3 linked regions of the Sus scrofa genome follow. The protein of the gene in region 3 purifies or fractionates together with the protein of the main gene of each other region. This does not show direct contact. Links are inferred from orthologs where the notes say so. Each region holds a gene or a part of one and is shown on either strand. Other genes may lie near its edges.

Region 1 (7,616 bases), on a different chromosome or scaffold from region 3:
TGACCATGTTCACAGCATGTGGAAGTTCCCAGGCCAGGGATCAAACCTGCACCACTGCAGCAGCTTGGGTTGGACAATGCTGGATCCTTAACCCACCTCACCACAGGAGAACTCCAACAGGGTAATTTATATGGTAAGGAGATAATATATGCATAGATATTTGCTTATTTAACTATTATTTGAATAAAACATGGTAATACTCTCCAATAGTCATCTTAGCAACATACAGACACAGCATAAGGACAGAAATCTTAGCAGAAGATTCAGCAGGAAAGAATACGAAATAATCACGCTAACCAAGACAGCTACCCTTTCCTTGTCTAAGGAACTACTTAGTTTCTTATTGTCTGCTCAAATATCCCTTATATTCTTAGAGCCAAACATTTAACCCCAGTTCTCACCTCCCACTGACTTAGGCCTAAGCAGGGATGTTTGCTTACAGATCACCTTTTAATATGTTACAGAACGAGATACTCAACATATAATCCTTGGTAAGGATTTACCTAAACCAGAAGTAATATCAGTAAAGTAGCACTGAGGCACCAAGTGTGGCTGGAGCAGTGCTGCCACGGAAAGTTCTGTGTTCCCAACTCCTATTGGTTGCGTATAGTCATTTCTACTCATCCGACAGTCACCGCTGTGCTGTTCCATATACACCCATCTCCCTCAACGCATCGGTTCAGGAGACTGGGGTGTAACAAGTCTTATACACTTTCACAGATACCCAATCCCATAGCATCTGAACTGTGGTATGCAAAATGATTTTGATGATAACTCAACTTTTTTTTTTTTCCAGCTGCCCCTGCGGCATACAGAAGTTTACGGGCCAGGGATCAAATCTGAGCCAGAGCTGTGACCTACACCACAGTTTCAACAACACTGGATCCTTAACCCACTGTGCAGGACCAGGAAATGAACTGGTATGCCTTCAGAGACAAGCCAGATCATTAACCCACTGCACCTGATAACTCGACTTTTTCATTTTAAAGTTACACAGAAATTAGAAAATGCACTTATCTAACACATCACCTCTGTGATTTCATCAATATCACTGAAGATGAGATTAAGTAGGCAGTGCTATGATAATTCACATAACTTAAAGGACTCAGCACCTTGCATGCCGACGTGTGCCTCAAATCTTTACTCAACTTCCTTCACAACTAATCAGAATTTTAGACAATACATAAGCTACAGGACACTGGACTGAATTCTCTCATCTCACACAGGATTTCCAAGTCATGGCTCCATTCTCATCAGAGACACAATTGTGCTTCCAGAGGCCGGTAATCCTTTAGAATACGAAGTATACGTGAGTGAATATGTTGTATCAGAGAAAAGAGTTTAATATCTTCGTGTTTTCCAATTACATACATGGGATGTAACTGACATTTTTTATTCTAGTTAACATCAAAAGTAAAAAAAAAAAAAAAAATCAATCATCTAATTAGTACAGTAGCCTCATCAGTATCCCTAAGACACTTACTTATAGGTATGTCTTTTTTGTAAATTTATCAGATTGCTACTTGTATTTCACAGATTATATTTTAGTGGCTTTGTTGAAAATGTATAATACTTAGTATTATTTACAACAATGCTATTGATCTATTAAAGAAAGGAGTGGGATCCTGCTGTAGAGCACAGGGAACCATGTCCAACCACTTGTGATGGAACATGATGGAGGATAATGCAAGAAAAAGAATGCGTATATATGTACAACTGGGTCACTTTGCAGAAATTGACAGAACACTGTACATCAACTGTGATAAAAAATTGTTTTAAAGAAAAGAGTGTTAGGTGGATAAATAAAAAAATCTTAACTAGAGTAGGCAAATAAAGAGTCTGGCGAACACTGATTTGGATCTTTAAACCAGCCTCTGATTTTCTGCCCTGCTTCCCTTAAAGGCACACCTGTCCTAATCCACGCACATCACTTGTGACCTAGGAAAGCTCCTCAATAAACCTGTCTTTTCCCTCTTCCTTCCCTCTCTCCTTCAATCCCCCAGCCCTTTCTTGGTCACACAGACGAACACAGGATGGGTGGCCTACTGCAGCACCTGTACACTCTAGCCTCTCTTGACACACTCAGTGAACACTAGGCCATCAACAGTGCTCTTCTGCACACTCGACTTGGCCGAAGCCTGTAAACACCCTCTCCCTGCTGTGTTTCATATCCTAAGATAGTGCTGTCTGAGAATTTCTTTAGTGTTCTAATCACTGAAGCTCTAACAGCTACTTCCCCCTACGTATCTAAAAATACCAGCAAGGATTCATAATGATAAATAGATTCTTAATTACAAAGTCCTAAAGCATTCTTCACAATAAATCTAGCTTGAAAAAACCTACATCACAATTCTTTAACTTACTGTAATGTTTTCAATATGAACTATCCATGAAAAATAACTCTAACTAATGTATGCGAATAACCAAAATAGACTATATGCTAACATATACGCTTGCAGTATTATATCATCTTTAAAAAGAGCCAAGCAGAGTTCCCGCTGTGGCACAGTGGTTGATGAGTCCGACTAGGAACCATGCAGGTTCGATCCCTGCCCTTGCTCAGTGGGTTGAGGATCCAGCGTTGCCATGAGCTGTGGTGTAGGTTGCAGACGTGGCTTGGATCCCGCGTTGCTGTGGCTCTGGCATAGGCCGGTGGCTACAGCTCCGATTAGACACCTAGCCTGGGAATCTCCATATGCCATGGGAACGGCCCTAGAGAAGGCAAAAAGACAAACAAACAAACAAAAAAAGAGCCAAGGGACTCACTAAAACTTTTTTATATTTGTTTAAATTAAACTAAATTAGCCAATCTCTGAGTATTATACCATCAAATTAACTGGAAGTAATAACATGTAAGTAGAAAAAGTTAAATTAACTGTCTACGGGAATTTTTTTTTTAATGACTAAAGTAGTTTGTTAGGGTTTTGTTTCTACTGAAATCACAAAGAATGTCTTAAAACACATAAGCTAATGCTTTTCTTAGCCTGAAATGCTGCTAGATGTTGCTAAGCCTCATCTGCAAATAACGAACAGCAGAATTAAGTGACAGAAGTGGAAAGAGGGATGGAGCTGCAGAGACCAGAAGAGGGGACCAGTAAGAGAAAAGGGGCGCTATACAGGAAGGTGGGCTCCAAGGCAACCCCGGAGCCCTCGGCAGCTCCACTTCAAGTGAACACCCTTCCTGTGCGCTCAATGCACAAATACTTGCCTATTGGCACAATGAGAGGAGTCCATTACGGTTCCAACCTGAGCTGGGAGTGACGACGTGTAGGACACCAAGGCTGGTGAGAACTCTTGAGGGGAGGTGAGATACTCTGGTGATGCCTGCTGTGGAGACTGCTGACGTTGAGCGAGCATTTGCTGCTGCAGGAAAGCCTGCTGATACTGCTGCATCTGAAACAAAAAATGTCATCATACCAAACAACGCTCAAGGTCAAAGAAGCCCTGTCAGCAGCACATCTGTTTACCATTCTCCTTCCTTTTCCTTTGGCAACAAAATCAGAAACCTGAAAAACAATTTTTATCTGAAGGAGCAGCTTGCTACTAGAAAACCACAGCAAGACAAAATCAACCTATTTAAGAAGTTGTTTAGGAGTTCCTTCTGTGGAGCAGCGGGTTAAGGATCTGGTGTCATCTTTACAGCAACACGGGTTCAATGCGTGGCACAGTGGGTTAAGGATCTGGTCTTGCCGTAGCTGTGGAGTAGGTCACAGCTATGGCTGGGACTCAGTTCCTGACCTGCAAACTTCCACATGCCACAGGTACAGCCAAGAAAAAAAAGGAAGTTGTTTAACTGGACTTATTGTGGTGATCATTTTATAATATACACAAACACTGAATTATTATGTTATACATATATATAATTTTGTCAATTATGTCTCAATTTAAAAAAAAATTTTTAATTTAAAAAAAAGGTTGTGGAGTTTCCTAGTGGCTCAGCACGTTAAGGATATGGCACTATCACTGCTGCGGCTCGAGTTCAGTCCCTGACCAGGGAACTTCTGCATGCCACAGGTATAGCAAAAACAAACAAAAACAAAAAACAAACGAACAAAAACCTGCAATGTTAGGCTCACCTGGCAGGATTCAAAAATCCTCCTTTAAACAGTTTAAGAAAAAAAAATAGAGTAGCTTAAAGTCACTTGGTACAGTGGCTACTGTAAAAAAGGTCAAACTATTTTCTGAAGTAAATACGATTTTCCTTTAGGTTGCTTTCCTTTTTTTTTTTTTAACTCAATAGACGTTTGCCAAATGGAGACATATGACAAAAGATCCTGGATAATCAATCATTTCCTCATAACGTGAGAGAAGAGAAACATACTATCAGCCAGTTACGACGTGCCAAGTCCACGTGCTGTATTGCTCAGTCCAATTTAAACTGGCTTGAGAATGCGTGACCGGCTTTGATAAAATACATGTTAATGAACTAGCTTGAGCTGACTTTATTAAATTCTGAATAATATCATTCATACTGTGAATTCCAACACTGGAATGTGTACTCAGAGAGAACGCTAGAAACTATATAAAACTTACCATTGCGGGATAAGGCGATGCAGACGCTTGTGGCTGATACACCGAATGCATTAAAAACTGCTGTTGCAGTATCTGCTGCTGTTGCACTGCATGCTGGTACTACAATTAGAAAAACAAATTCATCGATACTACTCATGCCTTTTTTGTGCCATGGCCTTTTCTTATTTAAAGTATTGACCGTAACATAACAACAACGTGGGTATTCAAACGTCCAAGCACTAACGTGAAAGACCTACAGTCAATAAGCGACTACAACTTAAATCTGCATTTTGGAAATGGTTTCAAAATTATCAATGAAACATAAACTAAAACCATGTCCAGCACAGTTTACGGATGTCTGGGAGAAACCTAAACCTGCCACACAGCTGATGAAGACCCTCAAAGTTAATTGTGTCCGGGAATCACCGCGGTCAATGATGCCCTGCTCTCCTTCAGCGCTATCTCCCGGCCCTGCAGTGGCACCAGAGGAAAGGCACACCCATGACAAGTGTCAGGTATCAACTGATTCAAAACTACTTCGGGCCATGATGAAGGCATGAGGACGAGAGTCACTAAATTTAACACATTTTAGTGAAACCAGAAATGGGCAGGCTCTGATGCAGCAAAGGACAAAATCAAATGTAAGGTCATTATTTCTAGTCTCTTCCAACTCTAAATGCCACCCTTACACACACACACACACACACACACACTCAACACAGGCTAAAAAAGAGAAATTTTTAAAAAAGAACAAAAACCTACGACAGTATTACTTCTGAAGGTCTAATATCACCTTTCCAACAATAACATTATTGGTCTATATATCTGAACTCAAAGCATAACCTGAAAAAGGTAATATTCCTCATAAGCTGCAGGACACCTGTGAGGCCAGGTGACAGGATGAACATTCTTTGCTTCACGAAGCTGTGAGGCAACCTGTTTCAATAGGGTATCTCACAGAATGCAAATAAAATGCATATTCTTTCATAATCAGGAAACTGAGCAAAATGTTTATTTCAGTCTGGAGTTCAAGGTAGAATTTATGATACAAAAAGGAATTCACTAATATTCAAGAGCTGCCTAGATCTCACAATCCATGTATCTTAGTAACCAAAGAGTTACCTGCTGCATATAAGCATCCTGAAGTAGCTGCTGCTGCTGCTGCTGCTGCTGGTGAGGATGACGATGCTGCAAATGAAGTTGCTGCAATCTCCAATCTCCCTGCTGTAGTTGCTGAAGTACCCTATGCTGCTGCGGAGGCTGCTGAGTGGGCCCCTGACCCAATAAGCTCTCAGGGCTGTTTCCAGGTCTCAGGGCTCCTGAAAAAAGGTTCCAAAAACTTGTATTCACACACTGATGATTTCAATAAAATGGCTGGATTTCAAAACATCATTTCAATAATCACTAACCAAGGCACTCATATCCTTATGGTATAGAAACTTTCATGTACATATAGTCTAAAGGGATTATTTACTATAGTTATAAGTACCCGTGAAAGTTGATTTTGTCAACTACAACTCACGAACAAGTCATTTCATCTTTCATGCTTCATTTCTCGACCCATGATACACCAGCATGGGTCTGTGTCTTTGATGACATGATTCTCTGTCTGGAATGCCACTTTCTACCCATCGCCAATCTTCTTGTCCTTTCAAGTTCAGCTCAAATCTCTTTTTCCTTCACCTAACACTTCCACTCAGCTTGTAACATCTTACTCCGCCTTGCACATGTTAATTGTTTACATGGCTTCTTCGGAACAACAGCCCCTAAGGGATGGGGTAAAGACTTATTTATTTGTTAGGGCTCCAAAGAACGTTTTATAACAGATGTTCAAGAAATGTTACTATAGCGAATCCATTAACACTTTGTCCTAAATGGGTATTTATTTATAAGCTTTATAAATTTGACCACAGGAGTTCCCGTCGTGGCTCAGTGGTTAACAAATCCGACTAGGAACCATGAGGTTGCGGGTTCGATCCCTGGCCTTGCTCAGTGGGTTAAGGATCCGGCGTTGCCCTGAGCTGTGGTGTAGGTTGCAGATGCGGCTCGGATCCCGCGTTGCTGTGGCTCTGCCGTAGGCCGGTGGCTACAGCTCCGATTCGACCCCCAGCCTGAGAACCTCCATATGCCGCAGGAGCGGCCCAAGAAATGGCAAAAAGACCAAAAAAAAAAAAAAAAAATTAATTTGACCACAGGAAAATCCTATGAATAAACTTTTGAAATACATGAGAACGGATGAGACACACAACACCAAAAAGAAGAAATACACTGTAATTTCTATATTCTCTTTGAACCAGCTACTGTAATTCAAATATGACTATTTAACCTGAAGGGGAGAAAAGGAGGGAGAGAACAAGGAGGGCGAGCAGGACTCTTTTTCATCAATTTCATGTCTTCATCCCTCCACAGGCCTTGAATACACACCTTTGTGAAAATCTTTTTATAACTTTTTCTAATTCTTCCAATTATAAGAAAACCCATGTTCATTTTAATTATTCTTGACAATATTTACTAAAATATAAGGAAGAAAATGAAAACCCTAATTCCTCCACACAGCATAGCCACCATTTGCCTTTGGGTATCTTTCTTTGCAGGTGGAAGGAGTTAAAAAGCTCAGGTCCTCAGCTATACATGCATCCTGTAAGGCCCTGATGCCCAGCTGGAGAACACTGTGGCGGCAGGTGACGCCCAAACACACACGGATGATGCACTAACTCCAGGAGCTCACCTCTACCCTCACGAACTGCGGCTTCTCGCTAGTGTTATCAAGGTGAGCAGTGCTCCCTGGTTCTCCACAGAATATGCCAGAGAGCCCCAGACAGCATCAAAGCTGCCCTGCATGAACACAACGCCTTCGAGCACAGCACTGCATCCTCACACCACTACTGGTCCCCATCTTGCTAACAATGAAACTAAGGCCCAGAGAAGTTAAGTGAATTCACAAGTAAAGCTAAAGGCAAATGATAAACTGAAAGAACGCACTTACAATGTATTTGGCAAAGAAATAAGATTCAGAATACATAAAAGTAAAATCTTCAGAGCGATAAAAAATAGAGACAAATTCACAGAAAACTGCAAAAGGAATATTAAAATAAAACCAAAAA
Region 2 (7,616 bases), on a different chromosome or scaffold from region 3:
GTAAATGAGGAGTTCTTGTTGTGGTGCATTGGAAACAAATCCGACTGGGAACCATGAGGTTGCGGGTTCAATCCCTGGCCTCACTCAGAGGGTTAAGGATCCAGTGCTGCTGTGAGCTGTGGCGTAGGTCGCAGATATGGCTCGGATCTCACATTGCTGTGGCTGTGGTGCAGGCCGGCGGCTGTAGCTCTGATTCGACCGCTAGCCTGGGAACTTCCACATGCCTCAGGTGTGGCCCTAAAAAGCAAAAAAAAAAAAAAAAAAAAAAAAATTGTGTTGTGGATTAATATTTAGTGACAATGGAAAACTATTAATTTTCATAGAATGTCTGCAAAATGAATAACAAACTGGGCAACAGAAAGCTCCTCCATAATACCCCAAAGTAAAAACCACACAGGCCATATTACCACAATGAAATTAAAATATATCGTAAGTAACTCTTGGGTAAAGAAATCAAAACTAAAATTTAAAAACATTTAGAAAACAGCAAGAATAAAACATCATTACATATCAAATATTATGGAATAATAGCTAAAATTCTTATCAGAAATAAATGTATGAGGTTAGAAAAACTACTCACATACCTAAAGAAAGCAGGAAATTAATCAATATAATTAAAAAGATCAATTTGGAAGGTTATCAAATTCTATATATCCACAGAAAACATACTCAAAACCTCACATTCATTGCTGAGGAATTTATAACAGTAAAACACTGACTTCAAATAAATGTCTAAAAAAGAAGCACTTGGTACCCTGGGTTTTTTTGACCTTTTGTTAAAATTAGTGGTTTTAATATTAAAAATACTGATTTTTAATATGGAAAATAAAAGCATTTAATATCTCTTAAAAAAAAAAAGAAGCACTTGGTTAAATACATTAGGCTATCTCCATATAGAGGAATTTAATGTAGATATTTTAAAAGTTATATTTGAGGAGCTTCTTTAGTGACGTGGGAGGAAACATGCCAAATTTTGTGAGTAAAAAAATTAAGCTTTAAAATATGACTATAAAGATGCAGATTAGAGTCATACAGTGAGGCTTAAAATTGTGTACAAAATTGTGGTCACATGTATTTTTGTAAAGGAGAAGATTTGTAACTTTCCTTAGATTCACAAAGATATCTGTGACCCTAAAAAGGTTAAATGCCATTAACAAACACCAAAATGGTATCATGGTGCTAATTTCTCAGGGGTAAGATCAAGAGGTTTTAACTTTCTTCTCTATGCTTTTCTTTACATTACTAAGTAAGTACACTATTTATTAATAAAAGGGAAATTTGGTTTTTATGATTACTTCTAGGATTTTTTTTTTATGGTCTCCCTCTCCCCATAAGCACACACACCCAAACACTCACATGCCCCAAAACACAGTATAGTAGAGTCTCAAACACAGAGCCACATCTAATTCTTGGAATTCTGCAAGTTATTCCAAAGAACTTAAGCAACTACAAGAGAGTGATATTCCTGAAATTTGGAAATATTTGCTTAAAAACATGTTTGTGGACTTGAGAGAAGAAATCCTGTGTATTACTGCCAGATCATCTTGCTATTCTAATTCAAAGTGATTCTAGATCTTGTTTTTTATTCCTTTTTATAGAAAATCTTCTGAATACAGGAAAATATATTACCACTAGGCTCTGAAGCTCTTGCATGCTAGGGTTATCTGTGGACTGGACACCAGTGTGAGGGTGACAAGAGTAAGTCTTGTGTTTCAGGTGTTAGTCATACTAACCAGTTCCAGCAGCAAATGAGGAAGCAGCAAAAGCATCACCCTGGGTTGGTTGAAAGCCTGGAATCAAACTCTCGGCTGAGCCACCAAGCTTCTCAGGATGTTTGCCTGGAGGAACAAAACACGACTCAGTGCATTCCAGCAGAATCCCAAGATACACACACATGCTGGAGGTGAAGGGCTCCTCCAAACTGACATCTAGGTGTGACCCCTTTTTTTTCGTTTTTGTCTTTTTAGGGCTGCACCTTTGCCACATGGAAGTTCCCAGGCTAGGGGTTGAATTGGAGCTGTAGCCACTGGCCACTGCCATGCCAGATCTTAGCTGCGTTTGCGACCTATACCACGGCTCTTGGCAACGCCGGGTCCTTAACTCACTGAGCGAGGCCAGGAATTGAACCCACATCCTTATGGATACTAGTGGGGTTATCAATGAGCCACAACGGGAATGCCTAGGCTTGACTCCTTTTATGCTTTGTGGCAACACCTTGGCTAGTCAAAGGTCCTTGTCTAATCACTGCAGTAACTGAGAAACAGCTGAGGAAAGAAAGGAAGTCTAAAGCCCTAGAGTTCAAGCATGTTATTCAGAGCAGAATGCCTCCAGCCTTCACTTTATCTCTACAGAATTCTAATGAGTTTGAGGATCTGTCGTCCATGCAGTTAAGAGAGCAAACGAGAAGAGAGATGGCAGTGGTGAGATGCTATAAGGGATGGGCACAGTGATAATGGCTTAATGTAAAAACCAAGAACAAGAAGAGAGACAGGAAATCATTAAAAATAGGCATAAGGGGAGTTCCCGTCGTGGCGCAGTGGTTAACGAATCCGACTGGGAACCATGAGGTTGCGGGTTCGGTCCCTGCCCTTGCTCAGTGGGTTAAGGATCCGGCGTTGCCGTGAGCTGTGGTGTAGGTTGCAGACACGGCTTGGATCCTGCGTTGCTGTGGCTCTGGCGTAGGCCGGTGGCTACAGCTCCGATTCAACCCCTAGCCTGGGAACCTCCATATGCCGCGGGAGTGGCCCAAGAAATAGCAACAACAACAACGACAAAAGACCAAAAAAAAAAAAAAAAAAAAAAAAGGCATAAGAATTGAAAAACTTGGGCATCACTTAATTGAGTGCAAAGTACTAATTTTCAATGGTCCATGAAGGTATTTCTGTTTATAGTCTAGAACAGTAACTGGTACACATAACAAAGTGAAAGGGATGTCAAAGAAAGTTAAAACCCATGCCCAATGAAGATTAAAAAAAAAAAAAAGGCAAGAAAGTATGTGGATTTTTAAAAGACATCTATAAAATAATAAAGCTAAACGTTTGGTCAAAGTTCCTATCAGTCACTCTGTTCTGAATGTTCCTTTACCCTGTGCTTTGGTCTATACCAAAACTGTAACATATTCTTTTTTTTTTTTCTTTTTGTCTTTTTGCCATTTCTAGAGCCGCTCCTTCGGCCTATGGAGGTTGCCAGGCTAGGGGTCTAATCGGAGCTGTAGCCGCCGGCCTACACCAGGGCCACAGCAAGGGAGCCAAGCCGCATCTGCAACCTACACCACAGCTCACGGCAACGCCGGATCCTTAACCCACTGAGCAAGGCCAGGGATCGAACCTGCAACCTCCTGGTTCCTAGTCAGATTCGTTAACCACTGCCATGACGGGAACTCCTACCATATTCTGAGCTGTGTCATACCGAAGAATTTTCCTAGGGTGTGTGCCCGGGAAAGCGTATCCTGCCTTCCAAATCAGACTGTGGGTTTGGGGGGCAGAAATGGTACCTTCTATTTATGGTCAGCCAGTAGTACCAGAGAATTCTGATCACAAAGACTCAGTGTCAACACGCGGGTGCACTCTCATGGGTAAGCAGTTATGACTTGCTGGGATAACAAACCCACCCAGGACAAGGTACCCCCCCGATTCCTGAAGGTGCTTGACACTGTCATCCTCTAGGCAACCAAGTCTTCCCTAAGGTTTCCCACTCTCCTTGCTGCCCCTTAGACCAGGGTTTCCCGAGGATGGAAAGACTCTGGTGCTCTAGGAAAAATACACACTGACTTGTGCACATACTTCAAAACCGAGTCTCTGAAAGAAAAGAAAGACCCGAGCCTTTACCTTTACATGGGTATCCCTCTAGTATTAAGGGTCAATAATCCCAAAAAGATACCAGTTGCTCACCTTCCCCCAGCTTGGCAAAGTCCTTGTTTAGCAGTTCTTCAGCTGTGAGTTTGGAGAAATTGTCGTCGTCAAAGGGGTTCCACGTAGAACCTTCTGAAGGATTATAAACGTTTTGCTGGGAGGCCCGAGGGGAGCCTGAAGGAGTGGTGGTTGCAGACCTAGGTAGGTTCCCACCCCCACGAAATAAAAAGACATATAAAGGTTGAAAAGGGTCAACCTATTTTCTCTGTGTTTCAAGATCAAGTTATTTTCTGAACCAAAACATTATTTTCCTCAGTACTTTTCTCAAAGGGCTTTCCATGGCAGTGGAAAAGTTTCCACAGACACCCTTTCCAGTGTGTGAAACAAATGCCTCCCTTTTTTCATGATTTGCTATTTCCCACTACTTCTTTCATCTTTTGCTCAGATTTTTGGTCTCATCAGTTTTTTTCAGTTCAGGATCCCAAAGCAACCTGCTCCTGGGCACATGCATCCTGTAGTGACGGCTGTAACATTCGCAACAACGGGCCCTAGAGGGGCTGGGGCTGAGGCCTATTCCCACTGGCTCACATCTGTCAGGGTCCAGCATGCACAAAATTAAGGACCACCATCAGTGGATACCATCACAGTTCAAGAGAAATAAAGACAGTTACCACTATCATGTGCCCCTAGGTATCACGACCTAATTTTTTTCTCAAGTCTCTCTTGATGCCCTTTGCATTGAGCCAATGACTTAAAAGATTTTTAACTTCAGTATATGGTTTTAGGAAACAGAGTCTGAAACTGCATTTACTCAACCAACACTCATTACCATCTACTTTATCTCAGGCATGGAGCCTGTCACTGGATTTCCAAAGGCTGATCAGGCCTCAGTGCTTGTTTTGGAAGAGCCCGCAGGCTAGGCCAGCGACACCTACAAATAACTAATGATAATACGGTGTGATACATGCTCAAAAAAGGGTTCAGATAAAATTGTGTATGATACCAGAGGAAGGGTCAAAGAAAAAATTAACCTCTGACATGGATGCTGATGAAGAAAGAAGGAATTCCTAGGTGGACAAGGAAAAGAGAGGCAGTTCCACGAATGTGACACATCAGGCCTTAGTCTGTTAACGGGTGAATTCAGATATTATTCTATAGGCAATGGGAAGCCAATGAAAGGCTTTCAGCATGGAGAGATTTGGTCACATCAAGAATTTAGAAGGCACTCTGTAGGTTATGGGCTGGATGAGAGAATGCAAAGAGTGAGGCAGGTAGGAAATTATTTCTTAAGATCAGTCAGATCTATGCACTATAGGAAAACTCGGTTTCTTATTAAACACAGACACACGCTATTACATACATGTCTACATATATATGCAAAACCCACATGGCAATGGCCCACGGCAGCCCTTGTCCACAAAATCAGTACATACTTGGACTTATTGAGACTGGCCTCAGCTGCAGCTGCCTGGAGCAGCTGGGTTGATTTGCTGGCAGGGACCCCGAAGACCGCACTGTGGGTCACGTCACTGAGAATCCGCCTGTGCCCAGCACGCTGGGCCTTGGGCGAGGATGGAGGAGTGAGAGATCCGAGTTTCTGCCCCTGGATGGCAGGAGGTGGCGTTGTCTGAACCTTTGGCTGTTGTCTTACCGGGGCCTGAATCTGCTAGGAAGAGAGATGAAAGTGTTCCAAAAAAGGGGGAGGGTGAGAGGAAAAACAATAAGCAGATAAGCATAACGAAAAATGCCACATATGATTCACTTGGCTCAGTTTATCAATAACCCCTAGAAAGAAAAAAAAAAAAACCTAGACTTTGACAATCTGAGCTGCAACCTGGAGACTGATACCAGCATGGTTATTTACCTGGTGCTTATAGATAAATTTCAATCTTTATCAGCAATAATACATAGGGTAACCATAGGCAACTCAACCCAGACCAAAGACTGCAGAAGTTATTTCTAGCTCTAAAGATTTAGAAAGTATCCTAAAAGGATCATCTGCTGCTTTAGGAACTCATTCAGAATGGTAGGCATTCTTCTACCACAGTCACAAGCAAATGAAGGCACATCTCTAGCTAAAATACAGCTGAGCTGAATGATTTCTGCTAAGAGATCCCCTACTTTCTGACAGAGCTCAGACTACTAGTTAGAAAAAAGTGAGACAGTATTTCTCTAAGATTAATAAATGGCAGTACTTTTTGGATTTTGTTAACACTATTTCATTGATAGGATGGGTATTACAAGATTCTATTTCTGTGGCACCCCTAAGGAAATGTACAGCTTTGGAGCAGGTGGATTAACCTGTTGCAAACTTCATTTTGGAAATGGCACCAAAGGACCAGGTAGAGAGTACAATAAGAAAGGAAGAAAAATAAAAGTCTTGGATCTAATAACATAAGAACTCTTGAGATGCAGGCCTTTTCCAGAAGGCAGGACACATGGTCACCACAGAAAAACAAACTGGATGGAAAATCCTCGTGGCCACATGGTGAGTTTTTAAGCATAAGTCATGATCTACAAAGTGCTATAGCAAGAAAAAAATAATATTACGAAGGCCACCTAACCCTTTTCTTTTTGTCTTTTTAGGGCCCCAACCACAGCATATGGAGGTTCCCAGGCTAGGGGTCCAGTCAGAGCTATAGCTGCCAGCCTGCGCCACAGCCACAGCAACACCAAATCCGAGCCGGGTCTGCGACCTATACCGCAGCTGACGGCAATGCCAGATCCTTAACCCACTGAGTGAGGCCAGGGATGGAACCCGTGTCCTCACGGATGCTAGTCAGATTCGGTTCTGCCGAGCCAAAACAGGAACTCCCCCTTTTCTTTTCTTTTTTCTTTTTTTTGAAATTTTATTTTTATTTATTTTTTTACAGAACAAAATACATATATTTAAACACAATTATATTCACACAGATTATTATATCATGGATCTTAAGAAACAGATTGACTCCCTCTGGAGAAGTAGAATGGAAAATATGCTGAGACAAATAGGAAATTTATGCTATACTTTATCCCATTTTGTATGGCTTTCATCTTTACTATTTAGTATTATCTATTACATTTCAATTTTTCTTTAAAAATTAGCATTATATTAAAATTGTGTATATTATGCAACTAAAATTTATAAAGAAGGAAGCCTTATATACCATTAAATATTTTACATAGCATAATAAAAAGAATAACTTAGCTGGTAAGAATAACAAAAATAATATACCCTCTGAAGATAAGTAAAATATAAAATGCATAAATTGGTTAAAAAACAGTGTAACTATATAAATATGTCCTCACAATTTGTTACATCTTATTGATTCTTCAATATAGGCATTACACCATTCTAGGTGATATATGATAAACAAGACATTAAAACCTTACATTGTACCATGGAGAGAAATGGTTATTAATAATACAGTTGTAGAACTGTATTATTTAATTGTACAGTTGCATTATTTAATTATAATTATCATAAATTCTTTGATGGAGAGGAAATCAGAATCAGTTCTAAGAAGACTTCAGCATTCCAAGAATGATGTCAAATGACCTCCTTCATGGTGGATTATGCACTTATTTACTATGAGATATATTTCTTCTCCAGAGATTCCTTGTTTGTGTATCAACTGTAGATTTTTGGTTTGTAGTTATTCCAAAGTTTTGATATACGCATCTATATGTATATGAGATTGCTTTAAGTTGTTCTCTTAATTGCAAGTTCATCTCCAGTATTCTGCATTTGTACCCACCTCTTCTCAGGATTTCTGATTTTGGTGG
Region 3 (8,289 bases):
AGTCCTTGGCCCATCAGTTGGCGTGGCCACCAAACTGCTCCACGCCACCCCCACCCCGCTTCCAAGCCAGTGCCCGTCACCTGCAACCCTCACCTGGACCACAGAAGTCACCTCCCCCTGCTTCTGCTCTTGCCTTCTGGAGAGGGAACCCTAAAGCCTGAGTCAGCCCACAGCCCTCTGCAGCTCAAAACCCTCCCGTGGCTCCCATCTCACTCAGGGTAAGAGCCCAAGGCCTCGCCGTGGTCCACAAAGTCCTGCCCCCTCTGCTTCCATTTGATCTTCGATCTGATCTGCTCCCGATGTCCTCCCTGGCTTCCTCCACTTCAGACACCCTGGCCCTCCTGCTATTCCAGGAATGCCCCAGCCCACTCCCGCTGCCTCAGGGCCTTTGCACTTGCTGTTCCCTGGGCTTGGAATGTTCCTCTCAGAGAGCATCTCCTTTCCCTCCTCAGTTCCTTCAGGTCCTCCCTCAAATGTCCCCGTTTCAATGAAGGCTTCCTGGCCAAACCATTTACACCTGCATTCCACCTCCCCCTGCACACACCCCGGCAATTCCATCCTCCACCCCATCACTCATCACCATCTGCTACACGCCATCTTTACTAAGAGTTTCCCCCTGGCTAGAATGGGAGCTGTCAGCTCTCCGAGGGGAGGCACTGGTGTCTGCCACGTCCCTTGCTGTATCCCCAGTGCCTAGAATTGTGCTCCACTCACAGGAGGCCCTTGATAAATATTTGTTGACGTCTACAGGACAATCGGCCTGGTCTCTTGAACAGACTAATACTGCAGGAATTAAAGCTGGAGACATCTCAGTGAAGAGACCAAAGAGACGTGGCAACCACGGCAATGCAAGATCCTTGACTGGCATTGGACCATCATTTTTGTTTCGTTTTGTTTTGTTTGCCTTTTAGGGCCACACCTGCAGCATATGGACGTTCCCAGGCTATGGGTCGAATCTGAGCTGCAGCCACAGCCAGATCCAAGCCAAGTCTGTGACCTACACCATAGCTCACAGTAACACTGGATCCTTAACCCACTGAGCAAGGCCAGGAATCGAACCCGCATCCTTATAAAGAATAGTTAGGTTTGTTACTACTGAGCCATGACGGGAACTCCACATTTTAATAGTTTTAAAAAGGCACCAGAGGAGTTTTGTCGTGGCACAGAGGAAATGAATCTGACCAGGAACCATGAGGTTGCAAGTTCCTGTTGTGGCTCAGCAGTAACAAACCCACCTAGAATCCATGAGGATACAGGTTCCATCCCTGGCCTCACTCAGCGGGTTCAGAATCCAGTGTTGCCATGAGCTGTGGTGTAGGTTGCACATGTGGCTTGGATCTGGCGTTGCTGTGGCTGTAGCATAGACTGGCAGCTCTAGCTCCAATTCCACCCCTAGCCTGGGAACTTCCATATGCTGTGGGTGCAGCCCTAAAAAAAAAAAAAAACCCACAAGGTTGAGCAGGAAGGGTCAAAAGGAAGCAGGGGAGTGTGGGAGGCAGGGGGGAGGGTCCTATCACCTCCACAAAGTTGGTGTGTTTGGCATCTCGGACAGTGACCACGGCGTGCACTTCCTCAATCAGCTTCTGTTTCTCGTCATCATCAAACTGCATGTACCACTTGGCCAGGCGCGTCTTGCCTGCCCGGTTCTGGATGAGGATGAAGCGGATCTGGGGGCAGAGGGAGGAGGAGGAAGGGAGAGAGATGGGGAGGGTGGGCCAGTGCCAGGCGGCCCAGCCCAACAGCCCCACCCGCCCCCACAGGGGAGAGCAGGTCCACCCATCTCAGCCACTCCCCAGAGCCCAGCCAGGCTGGCCTGGCCGAAGGCTCTGGTCCCAAGTCCCTCCCACCACCCCCCACTCCCCCCACCCCCGTGGAGGGATTTCTCTTCCACTGGCGGACGTGCGCTGCGCTGAGTGCCAGGCTCTGCCAGTTCTTGTTCCCAGGACCCGGGACAAAAGATCTGCCCCTCTAAGCCTCAGTTTCCCCACTGGCGGAACAAGTTTCCTTAGAAGGTCCATCTTGTCAGGGTGTTTTGAAGGTTAAATAGGTTTATCAATTTAATCCAATGGCCGATGCTAGCAGGCATGCTCGGTGTCAGCTACAATTATCATCAGTGATGGCTAGGAAATGTGCTTTTGTGATTCTGAAGCGTCAGCTCAACTCTCCTCAGGTGACTATGAACACTGAACAAGTTCATGACAAAAGTGTTTAGTATAACGCTTACTGCTTACGGAGCTCTCGAGAAAATTAGCTATTATGACAGAGAGGCATTTGATCAAGTGGCTAAGAACTCAGGCTGGAGACTGTGCATGAATCCTGGCACTGCTGGCTGTGTGTCTGTGGGCAAATCACTGAACCTCTCTGGACCTCGATTTCCCCATCTGTATAATGGACATAATGAGAATACATCCCTCATAAGACTGTTGCACGAGTTAATAAATATAAGACTTAGGAGTTCCCGTGGTGGCGCAGTGGTTAACGAATCCGACTAGGAACCATGAGGTTGCGGGTTCGGTCCCTGCCCTTGCTCAGTGGGTTAACGATCCGGCGTTGCCGTGAGCTGTGGTGTAGGTTGCAGACGCGGCTCGGATCCCACGTTGCTGTGGCTCTGGTGTAGACCGGCAGCTACAGCTCCGATTGGACCCCTAGCCTGGGAACCTCCATATGCCGTGGGAGCGGCCCAAGAAATAGCAACAACAACAACAACAACAACAACAAAAAAAAAGACTTATAGTACCGTGATGAGTGCACATGAAGTGATATACAAATATTAGGTTGTTGGTTTTTTGGCCAAGACCACAGCCTGTGGAAGCTCCTGAACGAAGGACTTGAACCCTCGCCATGGAGGCAACCCAAGCCGCTGCAGTAATCACACCAGATCCTTAACCCACTGTGCCACAAGGGAACTCCCCAATATTAGTTCTTAGTAATATTATAATTGATTATCATTTGACTTTGAGAAGACCATGGCCCAAGTTTCATCCTGCTAGGAAGCCTGCCTTTGGGCCCCGTTCTGTTTGAGATGGGCACTCTTGTGCCCATTTGATAGATGAAGAAACTGAGGCTCAGAGAAAGGACGTCTCACAGCCAGAAAGCAGAGCTGGGAATCCAAGGGCTTTGCTTTGAACCCACTTCCCCTGACGTGTGTGTGGCAGCCTCCACCCTCTCATAGAGTCCATTCTCTTCCCTAAGCCTCATTCTCCACACACCATTCCTCCTTCCCCAACCAATCAAGCTGGATGGGAACAGGATATTATGGTCTCCTTTCAAGAACACTGTCTGCTGAGCCAGGGAAAACCACTTCCTAGCAAGGCAGGGGTCCTGGGAGACAGGGAGAGGGCACGGGGTGGAGGTGGGGGTACCCACACCAGGCAGCCACTGCCTGGGGCAGAGCCAGAGAAATATGGGGCACACTGAGGGCAGAGATAAAAGCAAGCCTGAAAAGCTGAGGGAGAGCTCTGCCTCTGACCCCCCCCCCAGTTCCCTCATGCACCTCTTCCTGTTTCTCCTCCCAATTAGAGTCTCCCCACTTCAGGGAATCCACCCTCAGAAGCCCTTTCCCTCCTGCACCCTCAACCCTCGGATGTCCCCGCTCTATGTCCCCCAACCTACTGTCTCCAAGCCCTTACCCTAGAGCTGTCCCCTTTCGACTTCCTCTTTCTCGGTTTCAATGCCCTCTGTCAGGTCTCCCCATCTCTGGGGAGGGGTACCAAATCCAGTGGCTTGTCCTTGCCCCCAAAGCCTCATCCCCATCTCTCGCACTCCTGTGCCTATTACCTACCCTCCGTGACCTCTTCCACTGCTCCCCACACATCTCTAGTATCCACTCCCTACGCCAAGCCTTCTCCCTTTTCTAGCACGCTTTCCCTAACTCTAAAGCCCCATTCCCTACAGTTGCCTACTTCCCGTTTCCAGTGTCCAGTCTCTTCCTCTTGAAATTCTGTCTCCTTCATCAGCAGTATCCCGCCCAGTTCCAACACCCCCTCTCCGTCTGCAGTGTCAGCTTCCTGCCTCTAGAGACCCCCGTCTCTCCCAGCCGAAGGTCTTCCATCCTTCTCCAACTATCCGGTCACACTCCCAGAGAGCTCTCTTCTTGGGATGCCCCCTCGCCACCTCCAATTCCTTCTCCCCACCTCGGAGATCCTTCTTCGTGAGTTGCCTGCCAGTTTCAAAACCCTTCAGCCACCTCCAATGTCCCCTCCCGCACAGACCCCTCCTCTTGTCATCCGGTCTCCAAAGCCCCCTAGCCTTGAGAGCCCCGTTACACTCTGGCGTCCAGAACCGCCGCCCAGTCCCCTTCCCCGGCCTTTGGTCGGCCCCAATCTCGAGAGCCCCCGCCTGGCCCAGACCATTGCACCGCGGCCGGGGGGGCTTGTCAGTATCCCACCGCGCCTCGAGTACCTGCACATGGACCCACCCTCTGCCCATCCCCAGTATGGGCGCGCCCCCGTTACCATGGCGACCCCCGTCCGACCCCAGCTTCTGGGAGGCCCCGGTCCCACGGCTTCTGGGAGGCTCGGGCTTTGGCGGCTGTTGGGGCACCCGGGGCTAGAGCGGACTTCCGGCAGAAGAACTCGCCCGCCCTCTCTCGCGCACAGCCGGCTGGGAATTGTAGTCCGAAGAAATGGGGTCGTTCGTCTGAGCGGCACGCCAGAGAAATGGGCCTGTCCCGCGTCCCAGCATGCTACGCGACTATCCTTTTCCTCGCGCAAGGTTCGGTCTCCAAATGCATTCTGGGAGCCGTGGGTGAATGTCTCCTGGCAGGACTACAATTCCCGAAATGCTGGACAGCCAGCAAGGCAAGGGTTGCACTCTAGGAAATGTAGTTCGGACAGCCTTCCTTCTCCCTCCCACCGCCCCCCCAACAAGGCAAGAAGGACGTACTGGGAATAGCTGTTTTAGCAGAACACTGTAAATTAATTGTATTTTAATAACAAACAAATAAATTAAAAATCAATCAATAAGAAACTACGTTGGGGGAGCATGGTCACCCAGTACTTTGTTTAGAATATGTTAAGCGACTTATGTGGGACAGTGGCTTAAGCGCATGAATTTGGAAGCCAGAACTGTATGCAAATCGTGCCTTTATTTCCTAGCTGTGTGACTCTGGGCCAGCAACTTCACCTCTTAACTCAACTTCTTTAACTGTAAAAGACGGTTGATCAAGGGGTCACCTCAGTAGAGTTGTTTTAAAGCATCCGTAAGTTTCCAAAGTACTTAGCCCAGTGCTGGACATATAGTATGTGTTATGTGTTTGTTTGTTTGTTAGGGCCACACCCTCCGTGTGTGGAAGTTTCCAGGCTAAGGGTTGAATAGTAGCTGCAGCTGCTGCCTGTGTCAGAGCCACAGCAACATAGGATCTCAGTCACATCTGCAACCTATACCACAGCTCACAGCCACTCCAGATCCTTAACCCACTGAGAAAGGCCAGGGACTGAACCCACATCCTCATGGATACTAGTCAGGTTCCTTACCACTGAGCCACAATGGGAATTGCCTTCCCCCATTTCTTTGATCGCTGACCTCTTTTCTTCCTTTGGCTTAAACATCACCTCCGCAGTCCTATATGGGGGAACCCAACATACGAAGTTCCCCTCTTCGACCCCCCACATTCTCTAGGTCAGCAGTTAGATTTCTTTAAAGCCTTTTTACAGCTGTTAATGATTTTATTTGGGGTGTGTGTCTCTGTGTGTGTGTTGCCTCCGTTGAGGGCAGGGAACCTGTTAACAATCTACATCCCCTAGAACATGGTGGCACATAGTAAGCATTCAGTAAAGGGATGGATACTGAGGGGAGACTTGCTCTAAGAAAGCAAGGTAAATTAGGAGTTCCGTCGTGGTTCAGAGGTAACAAACCCAACTAGTATCCATGAGGACGCAGGTTTGATCCCTAGCCTCGTTCAGTGGATTAAGGATCCTGCCATGAGCTGTGGTGTAGGTGGCAGACGAGGCTCGGATCTGGTGTTGCTGTGGCTGTGGTGTAGGCCAGAAGCTGCAGCTCTGATTCAACCCCTAGCCTGGGATCCTCCATATGCCGCGGGTGCGGCCCTAGAAAATACAAAAAAAAAAAAAAAAAAGGATATCAGCTGGGGAGTTCCCTTGTGGCCTAGTGATTGAGGACCTGGTTGCTGCTGTGGCTCAGGTTGGATCCCTCATGCCTTGGGTGCAGCCCCCCCTCCCAAAAAAAAAAAAAAGAAAAAGAAAGAAAAAAAAGAGAAAGATGTCAGCTGGGAATGCAGTCATTTGAAGGCTCAATTGGGGCTGAAGGATCTGACTCCCAGGTGGCTCACTCGTAGGGTGTGTTGATTAATGCTGGCTGTTGGCAGGACTCTGTTCCTCACCAGGTGGCCCTCTCCCCAAGGACACAGAGTGTCCTCATGCGGCAGCTATTTTCCCCCAGAGTGAATGACCCATGAAAGGGCAGGGCAGAAGCTGCCTGCAATGTCTTTTATGACCTGGCCAAAGTCACACCCTGTCATTTCCACAATATCTTATCAGTACACAGAACTGCCCTGTCCAAGGTGGGAGGGGACTTGAACACCAGGTGAGAACAGCAGCGGTCCCTCTCGGAGGCCTGGCTACCACAACTGCTTATAGCAGAGACACCTGGCCCAGCTGAAGAGTTGGGGACAGAGTTAGACTGAGTGTCCCAGCAGGAAAATAGACTTTGTCTCTGCTCTTAAGAGTCACATGGCTTGGGAGTTCCCACTGTGGCTCAGTGGGTTAAGAACCTGACTAGTATCCATGAAGATGCGGGTTTGATCCCTGGCCTCCCTCAGTGGGTTAAAGGATCCAGTGTTGCCTTGAGCTGGTGTAGGTCGCAGATGCAGCTTGGATCCCATGTTGCTGTGGCTGTGGTATAGGTCGGCAGCTGCAGCTCTGATTCAATCTCTAGCCCTGGAACTTCCAGATATCACAGGTGCAGCCCTAAATAGAAAAAGGAGTCTCATGGCCCAGATGGTTTGGAGTCTGAGGTGTTATTCCACAACTTGAGACAGAAAAGACCAGTCCCAGCACTTCCAATTAAAAAAAGATGGACAGGGAGTTCCCTGGTGGTCTAGCAGTTAGAATTCGGCACTTTCACTGCTGCAGTGGCCTGGTTCAGTTCCTGGTCTGGGAAGTGAAATCCCACATCAAAGCTGCTGCATGCAGTGGTGGGAAAAAAAAAAAAAAACGAAAAAACGAGAGAGATGGACAATATCAAGTGTATTTGGGAAAACGTGGAGCAGCTGAAATTCTTTTTTTTTTTTTTTTTGTCTTTTTGTCTCTTTTAGGGCCGCACCTGTGGCACATGGAGATTCCCAGGCTAGGGGTCGAATCAGAGCTGTAGCTGTCAGCCTACACCACAGCCACAGCAATGCCAGATCCAAGCCGAGTCTGTGACCTAAACCACAGCCCACAGCATTGCCGGATCTTTTTTTTTTTTTTTTTTTTTTTTGTCTTTTTGCCATTTCTTGGGCCACTCCCTTAGCATATGGAGGTTCCCAGGCTAGGGGTCCAATCGGAGCTGTAGCCACCGGCCTACGCCAGAGCCACAGCAACGCGGGATCCAAGCCGTGTCTGCAACCTACACCACAGCTCACAGCAACGCCGGATCGTTAACCCACTGAACAAGGGCAGGGATTGAACCCGCCACCTCATGGTTCCTAGTGGGATTCATTAACCACTGCGCCACAATGGGAACTCCTGCCGGATCCTTTAACCCACTGAGCAAGGCCAGGGACTGAACCCACATCCTCATGGATGTTGGTTGGGTTCATTAACTGCTGAGCCACGATGGGAAGGCTTTTTTTTTTCTTCTATCTTTCTTTCTTTTTCTTTTCCAGAGCCGCACCCACGGCATATGGGTCTAATCAGAGCTGTAGCCGCCAGCCTACCACAGCCACAGCAACGCAGGATCCTTAACCCACTGAGCGAGGCCAGAGGTCGAACCCACAACGTCATGGTTCCTAGTCAAATTCATTAACCACTGAGCCACGATAGGAACTCCTGAAATTCTTATACATGGCTTTGGGGATGTCTCCAGGGATGTGAATAGGTACATCCACTTTGGGAACCTGGCTGGGGAAGGAGTACATGTGCATCCCATGTGACCAGCAATTTCGCTCTTAGGTACTAGCGAAATACCTAGCAGAAATGAGTACAAATATTTATCAAAACACATGTTCGGGACTGTTCATAGCAGCGATATTACCTTCTTTTTTTTCTTTTCCTCTCTCTCCCTTTTTTTTCCCCCTTTTTCTTTCTTTCTTTCTTCCTTTCTTCCTTCCTTCCTTCCTTCCTTCCTTCC

Evidence for each region. The genes of interacting proteins can lie anywhere in the genome.
Region 1: the proteins of AP2S1 (region 3) and BMP2K purify together in Homo sapiens (affinity purification with mass spectrometry; 4 studies listed by BioGRID and IntAct, counting the BioPlex papers as one, with this or other methods). This does not show direct contact. The link is inferred for Sus scrofa from reciprocal best matches to the Homo sapiens genes AP2S1 and BMP2K.
Region 2: the proteins of AP2S1 (region 3) and AAK1 purify together in Homo sapiens (affinity purification with mass spectrometry; 4 studies listed by BioGRID and IntAct, counting the BioPlex papers as one, with this or other methods). This does not show direct contact. The link is inferred for Sus scrofa from reciprocal best matches to the Homo sapiens genes AP2S1 and AAK1.

The regions. Positions count from the first base shown.
Region 1 is NC_010450.4:138,701,255-138,708,870, forward strand, and holds part of BMP2K (BMP-2-inducible protein kinase), read right to left. Parts: intron 5,832-7,616; coding exon 5,635-5,831; intron 4,633-5,634; coding exon 4,534-4,632; intron 3,394-4,533; coding exon 3,209-3,393; intron 1-3,208. UniProt on the Homo sapiens protein: May be involved in osteoblast differentiation.
Region 2 is NC_010445.4:72,924,073-72,931,688, reverse strand, and holds part of AAK1 (AP2-associated protein kinase 1), read right to left. Parts: intron 5,518-7,616; coding exon 5,285-5,517; intron 4,067-5,284; coding exon 3,891-4,066; intron 1,839-3,890; coding exon 1,734-1,838; intron 1-1,733.
Region 3 is NC_010448.4:52,698,588-52,706,876, forward strand, and holds the start of AP2S1 (AP-2 complex subunit sigma), read right to left. Parts: upstream 4,612-8,289; 5' UTR 4,458-4,611; coding exon 4,455-4,457; intron 1,668-4,454; coding exon 1,518-1,667; intron 1-1,517. UniProt on the Homo sapiens protein: Component of the adaptor protein complex 2 (AP-2). Adaptor protein complexes function in protein transport via transport vesicles in different membrane traffic pathways.